Stegostoma tigrinum: one gene and its partner. The protein of the gene in region 1 purifies or fractionates together with the protein of each later gene. This does not show direct contact. Links are inferred from orthologs where the notes say so. Each region holds a gene or a part of one and is shown in the gene's direction. Other genes may lie near its edges.

Region 1 (7,178 bases):
GTGCAAGTAGACCACATCGATTGGCCTCCCCTTATCGATTCTACTGCCACATCCTCGAAAAATTCCAATAGATCTGTCAAGCATGATTTCCCTTTCATACATCCATGTTGACTCTGCACAATCCTGTCACTGTTTTTCAAGCGCACTGCTGTTAAAATCTTTTATAATGGACTCTAGAATTTTCCCTACAATTGATGTTAGGCTAACTGGTCTATAATTCTCTGTTTTCTTTCTACCTTCTTTCTCAAACAGTGGGATTATATTAGCTACACTACAATCCATGGGAAAATGTGAATAAAACAAGAAATTATGATTTAAAAATGTATAAAAACACTGATTCAGCTTCAACTGGCACATTCTGTCTAGGTTTGACCAGGCATGAAAGTTCTGCAATTGGGGCATTCAAAAAGGAAGCTTGTCCGGGTTTACTAGGAGAAGTTGGGAGAATCACACAAAGAGAAATGTTCATAGAGATACAATGGGCTGAAAGGCCTCCCTCTGTACCATAACAGCTCTGTAATTGTGCTCTATGCGTTCCAACACTACCTGACATTGATAATTACCATGCTAAGAATTTTTCAAGTTATCACCTGGCTTGATACTTTTCAAACTTTAGCCCTTTGGCAAATTAGCTATGTGAAGTTACAGGGACAGAGTGGGTCTGGCTATGATATAAGGCAATACTTAATAATAAATCCAACATTTAAAAGTTTCCTTAGCGAGAGAATGTTGAGAATGTATAACCCACTACTACATGGGTGGTATAATGGGTGTATAAAACAATTGCATTTAAGATAAAGTTGGATAATGGTATGGAATAGCAAGTTATGGGATTAGATGAAATAGGGTAAAAGCAGGATTCATCACAGACCTGTTAAGGTAATTGCCCTGCTTTTGATCAGTATATTCTATCTAATTTTATGTATAGGATTGAAAACAAAGAACTTGAATTTACATAAAACATTTCACAATCTCAAAATGTTCCCATATGCTTTACAGCCAGTGAGGAATCTGTGCTGGATCATCTGTTGTATTATTTGGCAATACAGCAGTGAATGTATACAAGAATGAATGAATAAATGAAGATTCTACATACAGCAATGTGATTAACTACCAGAATCTAAAGTAGGTTTTAATTTCAAGTATGGGACTTGATGAAATAGAGTGCATTACTCCCAATGCCAGTAGAGGCCATGGCTTCAGCTGCCTGGGACCCATATACTGTGATTTCCCTTTTACTTCTGCCTCCCCACATCCCTCCACTCCAAGATTTTCCTTAAAACTAAAGTCTGTAGTGCAGACTTTTGAGTGCTCCTTCCTTGTTGCTTGCCATCTATTTTGCTTTTATCTTTATGGATGAATTTGAAATTGTATGTACCTTGAAGATGTGCTATTATTATTATGAAGTAGAGCTGTTGCATTCCAAAAAAATTTGCAAACGCTGAGACTGCAACTAGGAAACTAAAACCAACCTCACTTTAGAGCTTCTCGGCCTTTCTGGTTCAGAATCGCTCCTCGACCTCACTTTAGAGCTTCTCGGCCTTTCTGGTTCAGAATCGCTTCTCGACCTCACTTTACAGCTTCTCGGCCTTTATGGTTCAGAATTGCTTCTCGACCTCACTTTAGAGCTTCTCGGCCTTTCTGGTTCAGAATCGCCTCTCGACCTCACTTTAGAGCTTCTCGGCCTTTCTGGTTCAGAATCGCTTCTCGACCTCACTTTAGTATGTTTCCTCAGTTCTCGGTAAAATTTTAAAATTGTATGTTTCATCATTAATTTGTTGAAGAATGCTAGAATGTCTCAGTGTTTATATCATATTAAATACACTTTTTGATTCTATTGGAAGCAGCCATTAAACAGTCCAAAGCACAAATCCAGCCAGAAAATTGCATGGATTATACCTATGTAATGTTGGAAAAGAGAAATGTTGTCAAAGCTTTTTGTTGCATTTATTAGGAGACAATTACAAGAATACCAGAACAATGATTTATACTAGGTGAAAAGAGGGGGACTATTGGTCTGGAAAGTTGGCTGCAATTGGTTGAGGTGCTGTAATGGAGAATCAGGAACAGGTTACTGCCAAGCTTTTGTTTAAATTCAAACCAGGCAAGTTGACTCTGAATCGTCAAGACTTTGCCATGAGGAACGCACTAAGGAATGCTGACCGCAAAGGTTGAAAAGGGGACAATGCATGGGCATGTTCTATCTCTTCACAAATATCTGTAACTTCTAGCATGCATAAATATGCCATATTGCTAGTCTGACAGTTAATATTAATTTGGTTTTACAGTAACTCTGAGCACAGTCAGGATTGTTTAGCACGTGTTATCAAATCAGATATCATCTCTAAAATAGCAGACAATGTCCTGAGTTTTACAAGCACAGGCTAATTGAGTATAGTCAGTACTCTGTCTATCGGGAACAGCCAAAAGAATATCCTTTTGATAGGATCTGCCAGAGCTGGGATGTATAACCTACATCCTTTGCATCGTGTCAGCACTGAAACTCACTGATAACATTACATATTTGTGCAGCAGACACTAAGAGGGTGCCAATTGTGACATTCTGCTAACCAGATACGTAATCAGTGTGGCCACCGGATTCTGATGCTACTGCCTTGGATTCCAATCCATCCAAACAAGTGCCTGCTGAACAATAAAATATCCAAGAGAAATCCAGAAGTTCAAGCCTGATGCAGGACTTCGTGAAGTCCCTACAGTGTGAAACCATTGAGTCAACCCCGATCCTCTGAAGAGCATCCCATCCAGACCCACCCCATCACTGTCAGCCTGCAGTTCCCATGGCTAATCCACTGGTCTGCACGTCACTGCACAATACGGGCAATTTAGTATGGCCGATACACCTAGCCTGCAGGAGGAGAATGTGAAAGCTCCACACAGTTGCCGGAAGGTGGGATCAAATCCAGGTCCCTGGTGCTGTGACGCAACAGTGCCACCTTAACCTGAGGCCAAATTCCCAAGGATGGCCATTCTGCTATGAATTAGCAGCCTAGTTTGTGTGGGTGCATCTGTGTGTGATGTAGTCTCTAGAGTGAGATATAAACTCAAACCTTCTGCCTTAGAAGTATTTCCTGAGCTGTTACTGACACCAAATAAGAAAGACAGAAATGACACTGTGTGCAACAATGCACTGTGGAACAAAGAAAATTACAGCACAGGAACAGGCCCTTCGGCCCTCCAAGCCTGCGCCAATCAAGATCCCCTGTCTAACCTGTCATCTATTTTCTAATGGTCTGTGTCTATTTGCTCCCTGCTCATCCATGTACCTGTCCAAATATAATCTTAAAAGACGCTCATGTATCTGCATCTACCACCTCCGCTGGCAACGCGTTCCAGGCACCCAACACCCTCTGTGTAAATAACTTTCCACGCGTATCTCCCTTAAACTTTCCTCCTCTCACTTTGAACTCATGACCCCTAGTAATTGAGTCCCCCACTCTGGGAAAAAGCTTTTTGCTATGCACCCTGTCTATACCCCTCATGATTTTGCAGACCTCATTCAGGTCCCCCCTCAATCTCCGTCTTTCTAATGAAAATAATCCTAATCTACTCAACCTCTCTTCATAGCTCGCACCCTCCATACCAGGCAACATCCTGGTGAACCTCCTCTGCACCCTCTCCAAAGCATCCACATCCTTTTGGTAATGTGGCGACCAGGACTGTACACAGTACTCCAAATGTGGTCGAACTAAAGTCCTATACAACTGCAACATGACCTGCTAATTCTTGTACTCTAGAGGAACACAGCAGGTCAGACAGTATCAGAGCAGCAAGGAAGTTTCAGGTCGGAACCCTTCTTCATGTGCGTGGCTGGGGTACACATCAGATTTCTCCAACAATTACTGTTTTTTTTGTTTCAGATTTCGTGTATCAGCAGTTCTTTGCTTCACTTTAGATTAAAATAATTCACTTTCTCGAGCAAGTAGCATGATCTACGTCTTTCCGAAATACATTTTCCTTGTATTTTTTTACAACAGAATTTCCTGTCGCATATCTCCCCCGCACCCCCATTTGTTACACTGTCACTTGCTCTGTAACAAAGGATACAAGGGAGACTGCCCCCCTTTGAAGGTAAGTGATGGCTCCTTTAAGAGGCGGCGGGCGAGAAGTGACGCGATCACGCCGGAAGTGGCCAAGTTGGGAGGTGGAGAGACAGTTGGAGTGGAAGCCATGAGCGTACCGGCTTTCATCGACATTACTGAGGAGGACCAGGTCAGCGGGTGGTCTGGGGTGATATCCGAGTGAGCAGTGTCTAGGCGGCCGGCTGATCGATCCCGTTTCGTGCGGCGAGCGGCTGTGTCCCATCGCTGTCCGTCCAGACTTCCTTGTCCTAGAGCCTCGTGGGCCGGAGACACGGGGAGAGGGCCAAACGAGGAAGTCTGAGGCCGCTTAAAGTGACTTCGATGCGAAAGAGCCAGCACGTCTTGGAAATTGAACTTTGTTGTATTCTGCATAAGGAGATGTGCATCTTTCTAGCGCCTGTCACAACCTCCAGGCGTCCCAAAGAGCTTCAGAACAATTAGCGATTTTATAACGGGAGGGGCGGTATTCAAACCAGGACTAATGGTAACTGCAGACGCTGGAGAATCCGAGATAACAAAGTGTGGAGCTGGATGTACACAGCAGGCCAAGCAGCATCTCAGGAGCACAAAGTCCGAAATGTTAGCTTTTGTGCTCCTAAGATGCTGCTTGGCCTGCGGTATTCAAACCAGGGCTGGAGTTTTTTGATCAGTAAGCGAATCAAGGGTTATGGGGATAAGGCGGGAGTTGAGTTGATTAGGTTAGCTGATGTTTCGTTCGGGCAGACTCGATGGATGGACTGAATGTGCTACTTCTGCCCATTCTGTCATATGGCCACTGTTGTGGTATAACATAAAAACCGAAAGCGCATGCCATAAATAATTGGGTTCTCAGGAAGGATCACCAGATCCGAAACGTTAACTCTTGAGTTTTTAATCCACAGATGCTACCGGACTTGTTGACCTTTTCCAGCAACCTCTGTTTTTGTTGTTATTGCACAACAGTCGTTCAAAATTGTTTTCTGTGCTTTTGTGCCTGTTGACATAAGGGGCAGTTTGGCCTAACAAACTGAAGACTTCTATGTTTCACCAGGATACAAATTCTAAACCTATGTGTTTGCTCTGTTTCCATATGCCCAATGGTATTAATGTGGACTTCACAAACTTCAAAATCTCCCCCTCCCCCACTGCATCCCAAAACCAGCCCAGCTCATCCCCTCCTCCCTAACCTGTTCTTCCCCTCATCTCTCCCCTCCTCCCACCTCAATCCGCTCCTCCATTTCCCACCTACCAACCTCATCCCGCCTCCTTGACCTGTCAGTCCTCCCCAGACTGACCTATCTCCTCCCTACCTCCCCACCTACACTGTCCTCTCCACCTATCTTCTCCTCTATCCATCTTCGGTCTGCCTCCCCCTCTATCCCTATTTATTTCAGAACCCTCTCCCCATCCCCCTCTCTGATGAAGGGTCTAGGCCCGAAACATCAGCTTTTGTGCTCCTGAGATGCTGCTTGGCCTGCTGTGTTCATCCAGCTCCACACTTTGTTATCTTGGATTCTCCAGCATCTGCAGTTTCCATTATCTCTGATCGTTCAAAATATAGTTAGCCAGTTCACCAGAAACAAGTAAGAAGCCAATTACAGTGGTTTCTTGAGTGACTGGAAGAGCAATTTTATTACTTATAGTCCTGACAAAAACACAGACGCAACATCAATTGCGCACACAAACATTTACATGAAATAAAAAAAAATTGATAGTATCCAGTGTGAAATGAAGATGAAAGATTATCCAGTTTAAAGTTTTTAGTGTCCTTGTGGAGGTGTGTTGTAATTTGAGACCATGGTTGGTTAGGGCTGTGGATCATCTGCAGCAATGAGTACTGCAGTATCTTTGTGGCCTTGGTATTCCAATGTCTCTTCACTTTGCAATATCGTGATGTTTTGCCCTTTGCGAGGGAGAAGGACTCCAACTCTGTGCCTTTTTTTTGAAAGGAATGCTCCCTGAGAGACCATTGATTTGTATATTTCGGTCTCTAATTAACTTAATGACATATGAATTGCTGATGCTGAAGTTAGTTCAGGTTTGTCATTACAGAACCAATTGGTTATAGATGCATCAGACACTCTCGAGCTGAATCTGTGTGAAAAGTTTCCTTACTTTCACAATGTAAAATATGAGGAGGTTGTGGGTTTCTGGAAAAAAAAATTCAAAGCCTACATAAATTTTCCTAGGCCTCTGAGCTTCGATCCTACCTGAAGTCAAAAGGAGCTGAAATTTCAGAAGAAAACTCTGAAGGTGGGCTACACGTTGACTTGGCACACATCATTGAAGTCTGTGACGTATGTTTCAAGGAAGATGACAAAGGTTTGTCTGCTCACTAATCATCTGGCTCACTTTAAAGTTACTGCCAGTTCTGTTTAAGGACCTTGATTTTAACCAATGATTTGTGCAAAGGGCCTTGATGAAACATTTGAGACAGGCTGAAGTGTTATGCATGCCTGAGAGTTAGGTCCGTTGAACTTGTTGCTACCCTGTTTAATATTTTTTTGTTTCTTTATGCAGATGTGGAAAGTGTGATGAACAGCATTGTGTCACTTCTCCTAATTCTGGAGACTGAAAAGCAGGAAGCACTGACTGAAAACTTGTGTGAGAAGTTGCTGAAAGCTTGTGATGGTGAGCGATCGTCTCTCAGATTGCAGTTGTGAGTATGTAATTTAACTTGAGTTCATACCATCTGAGTCTCTTTCAATGTAAAAAGAAAATTACCAACTTGTTTATATTATGCAGTTTTCAAAAAAAGTCAAAATAGTTATGTTACTAACACAACAGTGTGTTGGAGGTACATTAATGTTCATAAAATGCCTTAATAGTAAGTAAGTCAATAATTCCAATAAAGCAGCTTCCTTCATAGCCAAATCACTTCATCTAACTTTCGAAGACCTTGGTCATCCTCTTGCCTGAGTTATTTCCCTCCATTTGTCATCCTTGAATAAGGAAGGTCTAAATATCTTCACTAAATTTGTTTTCTCTAATCCTGCGGATAGGAGTTATTATTAAATGTTGTAGGTAAATATCTTCAGAATGTTGTTTCCTCCATTCTTTTCTGTTAAATGAACCAGGCTACATCGTACAAATCTCCAC
Region 2 (8,263 bases), on another chromosome or scaffold:
TTGTCACGTTAAAAAGTAATCGGAGGCAATTTTAGTGGAGGGAAGTAAGAAACTTAAAAACATATAGGACTCAACCCTATCTTCAATCTACCAATCTCAGTGAAAACATTTCCAACATCCACGGGTAGGTACTGGCTCCGAAAAGGGCACGTAAGCCTATAGTGGGCTGGCACATATGGAGTGGAGCAGGAGCAAGACATAGGATGGACATGGTTTACAACACCCAGAATATATCCTGCTTGTCAAAATAAACTCTTCTGATGAAGTCACAAGACTCAAAACATTAACACTACTTTCTTCCCACAGATGCTGCCAGATCTGTCAGGGCGTGTGGAATATACTGCTAGCAGTGGTCGTGGAGTCAGATACTTTAGAGACTTTTAAGCAACTCTTGGATAGACACCTGGAGGATAGTAAAATGCGGAGTATGCAAGGTAGATTGATCTTAATAGGATAATAGGTTGGCACAACATCTTGTGCCAAAGGGCCTGTATTGTGCTATAGTGTTCTATTTTCTACATTTATGATCTGCTGAGTTTCTCCAGTAATTCCTGTTCTTGTTTTAAAACAAATGGTTACATGGATTTAGGACCTGCTCCAAGACAATAGAAACTCATGTGCTGGAAGTCCATTCGAAAGCAGAGCACGAGTATGGTGAGCTAGGCACGAGGCAGTCACTTCAGAGTGCTGGTGCTGCCCAGGCACAGAACCTGGGGGAATGAACAACATTTGCACTCTCCTCTGCTGGGTCCTCATCATGAAGAAGCATTTGTAAAAATAAACTTAAAAAGAGAGAAACAAAGTAGAGAATTTAAGGAGGTATAGCCAATGTTGGAGGTCCTGGCAGTTGATAGTTAAGTCATAGCTGATCTGAATTGGCAACATTGGTATAAGGATATCTCAAAGCGTTGCATGCTTACAGGAAGTAACAGACATAAGGAGGTATAGGTTTATGTTGGAATTTGAAACTAAGAATGAGAACTTTAGGAAGAATGATGTTGTCTAGCTGAAAGCCAATGCTGGTCAGTGATCACAGAGGTGATTGTGAACAGGACACAGCGCAAGTTAGGTTATAGAAAGCAGAGTTTTGGATGAGATCAAGGCTACATTGCTCTGAACAAATTATCCTGTGTAAAATGAATAGGCATGGCATTTCAAGATACCCGAAGAAAATAACAAAACCAGAAAATGCTGGAAATACATAGTGGGTGCAACAGCATATGAAAAAAGTGGGAGGAAGATTTAATTTTAACATGCACACCCTTTGCCAAATAGAAGTACATACTAGGTGTTGAACTCTTTCATCTTTGTTAGACATAGATATACTGGTCTATGTCCAGAATTTTCACTTTCAACTTGAATTTAATTTCAACTCTAATCGAGCAGTTATACTTGAATACCACAAACAATATTTTTTACGTCAAACAAAAACTTGAAAATAAACTATCTTCTAATTACTAACCTCTAACTGAATAAAATAGTTTTCTGATGCAGCAAATAGTCCAGTCAGCTTCATAATGAAGGAGAGGATGTTAGGGTGAATATCCTTCTGTTTGGATACATTTACAATTATGTTTGTCAGACACGGGATTCTCTGTAGAATATGGAGTTCTGTTTCTGAAGGGAACACAGAAAAGTAAAAGTGAATAAAGTTTTACACAAATTTACTATTCAATTTTAACACTGTAGTTTATAATGTTCCTTTATTTAACATAGGTGTCAGTATTTTCTCCTTCACCTGATGGTATTGTCTTCCTGCAAAGGTCAAGGACAATGATTGCTCACTGGTACAGTGTGAGGTCATATTCACTGTGTCAGCATACTGTTTAATCAGTGGGATAGCTTAGCCAAGATCAATTCTGTATCCAGTCAAATATCCAAAATTGAGCTTTTTAACAGGAATCATTGGTTAACAATCAGTAGTCAGAACTCTACCCAGTCTTCTTCCCTCTGAGGCCAGTTTTAGCGCTATTCTCATTGTGGACTTCTGATTAATCACAGACTGAGGATCACACTCAAGGCATAGTCTTATGTTTTGGTTTCTGTACCTTAAATGAGTTAGAACAATAGTGCAATTTGGAGGTGACAAATGTAATTACATCAACAATATTATAACGCATTAAATTCCCTGGATAACAAAAACTAGGGCAACCAGGCAAATGGATAGGAATGCCAGATGAAACTGAGTAATGCAGACCACATGAACAGAAATCCAAATTTGATGGTTAAAAGAAAGCAGCCAATGTTCAATCCAGACACATAGACATGTTATTTAGACATGAATGGGTCAACCAACTTTTCTGAAAAATAATCTATTTCACCTTAACTTACCATGTCAACCTAGGCACAATTTCTTCAAAATTTGAAGGCTTATTTGAAAATTTCATGGGACGGTTGATGTGGGAGATAAAAAACCTCATTGGTGGCAAAGTATTTTTGCAACAGAATTGATATAATAGCTTTAATATCACAAACTGTAACAAAGGCCAGTACTAGATTACATTAATGTGTAGAAAAAAAATAAATTATACAAATAAAACTCATTTCATACTTGATACTGGTTGTATTAATCATGACTTCAAATTAAGTGAGTATCCAGTTACCATTTTCTGTTGTTCCTCGGAAGCAATCAAGCAGCTTCTCCAAACAGGTATCATCAACAACCGTTTGCCCGGCATCTCCTAAAACTGAGAAAACACGGGGCAACAACTCCACACACTCACTTTCCATTTTCCAATTATATGATAAATTCTCTGATGGGAGGGAAAAAAAACAAAATACAAATCTTCATGCTCTTGTATATTATGCAAAATACCTTCTGAAGAACATTGCCAAAAGTTTTAAATTTGCTACAATTGGCAAGTAGTTCCTCACTATCTTAACACTACCAAAAGATACTTATATTCTCCAAGATGCTCCCATACAAAGCAATTCAACAAATACAACTTGATATTTCATCCCATCTTCAGAAGTATGACTTATCAACATTTTTTAAAGTAATTATGATTAATTGTTCATGTGTATTGTGCTGAATATCAAAATAATGGTTTTTTGGAACAGATGTGTTTAAGTCTGGTTTCTCCTTTTCGTTATAACAACTTGCATTCATTCATAAAATATTATGAATAAAAGTAATGCACACACTGAAAATCTGAAATGAAAACAAAAACAGCTTGAAATACTCAACTGTGTGGCACTGGAGAGTGAAACGGAATTAATATTTCACGTCAACGACTCAGTTCTGAATAATCATAGATCGGAAACACTGTCAACTCCACTTCATTTGCTAAAAAAGCGGCCAGCCTTGCTGAATAATTCCAGCTTTTTCTGTTTTTAGTAGTTTATATTTATACCTTGATAGGAAAGAATATATCAGAAGCAAACATATCTAGTGAACTCTGCTAAAATTTGAAAATGATCAACATTAATACTCTTAGCTTCAGAGTTACTTCTGCTTAGTAAGGGCAGATGTTGGATACACAGGAAAGGTTGTAGACTCTAGAGTTCTTTATTAAGACAGACTTAGGAAAAACAAAGACAATAAATCAGCAAAAAGGGCGATGGAGAGGTCAGTTCTCGATGAGGCAAAGCCAGGGAATTACATTTCAGAAGGGGTGTAGGTAAGACAGGAATACAAGTTGTCAATATTTTAGAGTAGGAACAATGTGTCTTGTGATAGGCCAGATGTAGCCCGAGGATCACCTTAACACTAAATTTAGCCCAGGCGCATGGACAAAATAAGGTAACTGTAACACTACTGTGGTTTGAGAATATCTTTGTTCCAAGCGTACAATTGTTACATTTTGTTGCAGAAGAACTTCGGTAAGTCAGATTCTAATAGATATGCATTTTTTATTTTAAGACCATACGACATGAGTGGAAGTATTTTGTAAAATACCAAACACGAACTGAAAATACTCATTACAAATGATACTTTCAATCTGATCCTATTACTTTGATTGCTGACGTCTGTCTTTCTAGAAGAATTCACTCGCACCTTTCATAGAACATAGAATAGTACAGCACAGGAACGGCCCTTCAGCCCGCAATGCTGTGCCGACCATGACGCCAAGGTAAACTAATCCCTTCTGCCTGCCCTTGGTCCTTATCCCTTAATTCCTTTCCTTTGACATTAAAGAAGTTAAGGAAAGGGGAAGGCAAAATGCCAGAAACACTCAAGGTCAGGCAGCATCTGTGGGGAGAAAAATAGAATTAACATTTCACGTCAATAATGTTTTAATAAGCAAGTTTAGGTATGTTTTCGGCCTGGCATCCTAACTATAAAACAGTCAGTAATAAATCTAGTAGAGAACTCAGAAGAAACTTCCTTTCCCTGAGGGCGGATAGAATAAGTGGTTAAAGAGAATGGCATAGGTATTGAAAGGTTAAGTAAATGAGATAAAACAAAAACACCGAGAGGGTAAAACAGTGAATGGAGGAAGCTGGCGTGCAGCACTTGTACCAACCAGTTAGGTCTAATGGGCCATTTGTGAGCCGCCCATTCTAGAGGCATCCATGTCAGTGAAATAAACTACAAGGTGAGGGAAGATTAAACTGGACACTGTCCTACAATCAAAACTGGGAAAAGCGGACTCTGGCTCCACTACAACAATCGCCTTAAAATGACCTGAGGTTTTAATGTAAACAGACACCTTGCGTGAACAATCAACCCAAAGGTAGAGAGCGCGGATACGAGCACAAACCAAACGAAGCCATCGCCATGCCCTCCAGCAGACGACCTGGACTGGATCACCATTCACAGTCAGGGGGGAGCATTAGGAATGTTCCACAACAAATCCTCAACAGTAGCGGTGATTCTCACACAAAATCAGCGAATTATAGTAATAGATTTTCAAAAATATACGTATGTAAACTACCTCCGTTTAACAACCGGTAATTTCCTCCAAATCCTATCTATATGTCAGCGCTTTCGCCCCTCTGATTGCTTTGGAACAGGCGAACCGGCGGGACCGCGCATGCCTTGCACCCCCCCTTCCCCCAGAGAGGCCCGGCCGCGCACTTCCGCGCTCGCTCTTTCTTTTCCGGCCGCCCAGCGAAAGCAGGATGAAGGAGACGAGTGGGGATGGTGAGGCTCGGGAGGCTGACGATGAGTTGGCAGAGCTGGAGGAGCCCGAGGAAGGCTTCAGCGACCCTGAAGGCTTCGAGGATGACATCTCCGATGAGGGTAAAGACAATGAGTGGGGTAGCTTTCGGTATTCGCACACATGGAGGGGAACCGGTTCATATCCCCAGCCCATGTGCGTTTGGGAGTGACTGGAGCCTGAGGCCTAGGCTGGGCCTGGACCCGGATGAGCAGGCAGGTTGACTGGGTCCTGGCTGATAGAGCTGGAACACACTGACTTGGGAATGACACACATTATTAATGATCATAAATTCAGTAGTGTCTAGTGTTGTGACAAAATATTTTTTTTCCAGAAAGATAGCCTGTACAGTGAAGGGAGGTGAATCATTAAGCGACAACTGCAGTTCTTCATTTAAACTAGGGAATCCGCTTTTTCACTTGAAAGTATTTTCACACACTTTGTTTAAAATAACTTAATTAGAAATCACTAGCCTCCGTTTGATCTGTACCATTAGAAGTGTATGTCGTAGTGACGCAAATTACAGTTAAATAAGGTGCAGTATCCGGTGTTAACATTGTATGAACTACAGAGTGGTGGATGTAACTGCAACTGCACAGTTCTTCAATTCAATATCACTTTAAATGTCTTGTACTCTTGTGTAACCTATATTGAGAAGGGTGCAATGCAATATGGGATCCTTATAAATTAGATGAATATGCAATGTCTTCCATGAGATAAAAGGAAAAACATGTTCACACCAGAACCAAATCATTCTGTAAACATTACAAATGTAATTTTAGCATGGTTATAAACTGATTGCTAGCTGATTAGAAAAATCTGTAATCAAAATATTTTAAATCTGTAGTTAATCTGATCCTCCAACAATAGCAAATATTCACATTTCATGTACTACAGGCACTTTATATAAAATCAATTAATAAGATTTTGACATAAAGGTGCAAAATTAGCTCAATTGGCACATTGAGTCTGTGGTTCCATTCAGTGAGATTGTAGCTGGTCTAATAACCCTCAAATCCCCTTTCCTGCCTTTTCCCCATAAACCCTTTATTCCTTTACTGATTGATTGAAAATTTGTTGATCTCAGTCTTGAATATACCTAGCACAACCCAGCTTCTGCAGCCCTCTATGGTAAAGAATTCCACAAATTCACTATCCTTAGAGAGAGGCAACTCTGCTCCAACTCTCACCTAACTGGGTGACCCTTTACTGTAAAATTATTCTCTTTGATCCTAGACTCTTAACACAAGGGGAAGCAACATCTCCACACCTTCCTGGAAGAATCTAAGTAAAAGTCACCTTTCATTCATTTGGACTCCTGTGAGTACAGGCCCAATCTACTCGACCTTACCACATAAGACAATTCCTCTGTATCCAGGATCAACCTAATTGACCACTCCTATTTTGCCTCCGGTGTCAGTTATACTTTTCATGAGATGGGGATATCAAAACTGATTGCAGTATTCTGTAAGGATTCTGTAGTTTTAGCAAGGTTTTCCTATTTCCTGCTGAACTTTCATATGTTAGTGTTTTAGAAACCATTCGGATGCCCTCACAGACTACCAGATACCTCTGTGCTGCAGCTTTCTGCTGTCTTTCTCCATGTAAACAATATTTAGCTGTTCTGCCTTGGCCAAGTGCATAACCTTACATTTTGCCACGTTATATTTAAATTGTCAAATATTTGCCCACTTGCTACATGTCTTTGCAGACTGCCAACCTCACCACTTGCCTTCCCACCAGTTTTCTTGTGTCATTGCAAACTTGGTGATAGTATACTCACTTGCATTGTCTAAATAATTGATATATCTTCTAAATAAATGTGGCCTGAGCACTGATCCCTGTGGCACACCACTGGTTGTGGATTGCCATCCTAAACGTGCCTCCTTGTCCCAAGTCGTCTATTGTGTAGACAAGCTTGTATCTGTGCTAATATACTACTTCCAATGCCGCACGTGCTCAGAACTCTCTTCCTAACTACATTGTGTGTCCAAATGGACTGCATTGCTTCAATAGGGCAGTGCACTATTACTTTTTCATGGTGGGCAATAAATCCTGGCCCCGCCAGCATTGCCCACATCCCATGAATGAATAATAAAAAAAGTAGTCTGACATACGTCGCTTATCCAACACCTTCTAGAAATCCAAATCTTTTACATCCTCTGGTTAAATGGTCTGACCAGAAACATTAACTGTAGTTGAATATTTACTTGTGGTATTCTCCAGATAGCAGATGCACATACTGTAGGACAGTGGAGAAGTGAAAATGAGAACAATTGTTGGATCACTAAACGGATCTGACAACAGCTCTGTTTAAAGAGAAGCTGAATTAATGTTTCAGATTGATTTTTTTTTCATTGCACATGATTGTGCCAGTCTTGGCTTAGTTTAATCTGACATTTTAAGCCCAAGATTCCGTGTTTAAGTTATACGCTGTGGCTGGAGCACAAAAACAGAAATGACACTCCTGTGCAGTACTCAAAGTGCTAATTGTCATTGGTGCCATCTTGTGGAAGAGACATTAAATGAACTTCCTATGAGTCTGCATGGGTAAATCCAGAAGTTCCCATAGCACTTCTCTGAAAAAGTGTTGGACTGTGCTTTCTAATGTCCTGATCAATATTTATCCATCAATGAGCATGCCAAAAAAATACAGATTTTCTGTCTGGTGTCTATTGTATTGATCTATGTGGAAGTTTGCTGTAGGCAAGTTAGCTGCTGTGTTCTGAAGTTAGATTATGACTACTCGTCCAAAGTATTTCATTGGTTGTGAAGTAGTCATCAAAATATATGCAAATGTATGTCCTTTATTTTCAATTTCCTGCACTCCTATTTTGTTATGCGAAATAAAATTTTCATGTGAGGGCACCAGTTATATTTTATTCAGAGATAGTGGGAACTGCCGATGCTTTAGAATCTGGGATAACAAGGTGTAGAGCCGGATGAACACAGCAGGCCGAGTAGGAGAGCTGACGTTTTGGCTCTGGACCCTTTTTCAGAAATGGGGGAGGGTAAGGGGATTCTGAAATAAAGGGGTTGGGTGGATGGAAGATGGATAAAGGAATAGATAGGTGGAGAGGAGACAGACAGGTCAAAGTGGCGGGGATGTCACCTTTACTGGCTCCATCCCCGCCTCTTTGACCTGTCTGTCCCCTCTCCAT

The links.
Region 2: the proteins of eif3m (region 1) and eif3ba purify together in Homo sapiens (affinity purification with mass spectrometry; 8 studies listed by BioGRID and IntAct, counting the BioPlex papers as one, with this or other methods). This does not show direct contact. The link is inferred for Stegostoma tigrinum from reciprocal best matches to the Homo sapiens genes EIF3M and EIF3B.

Annotation. Positions count from the first base shown.
Region 1 is NC_081370.1:43,419,991-43,427,168, forward strand, and holds the start of eif3m (eukaryotic translation initiation factor 3 subunit M), read left to right. Parts: upstream 1-4,105; 5' UTR 4,106-4,188; coding exon 4,189-4,230; intron 4,231-6,268; coding exon 6,269-6,401; intron 6,402-6,599; coding exon 6,600-6,738; intron 6,739-7,178. UniProt on the Homo sapiens protein: Component of the eukaryotic translation initiation factor 3 (eIF-3) complex, which is required for several steps in the initiation of protein synthesis.
Region 2 is NC_081376.1:1,082,536-1,090,798, reverse strand, and holds the start of eif3ba (eukaryotic translation initiation factor 3, subunit Ba), read left to right. Parts: upstream 1-5,030; 5' UTR 5,031-5,064; coding exon 5,065-5,185; intron 5,186-8,263. Other genes in the region: brat1 (BRCA1-associated ATM activator 1), read right to left, coding at 1,463-1,617, 2,604-2,730.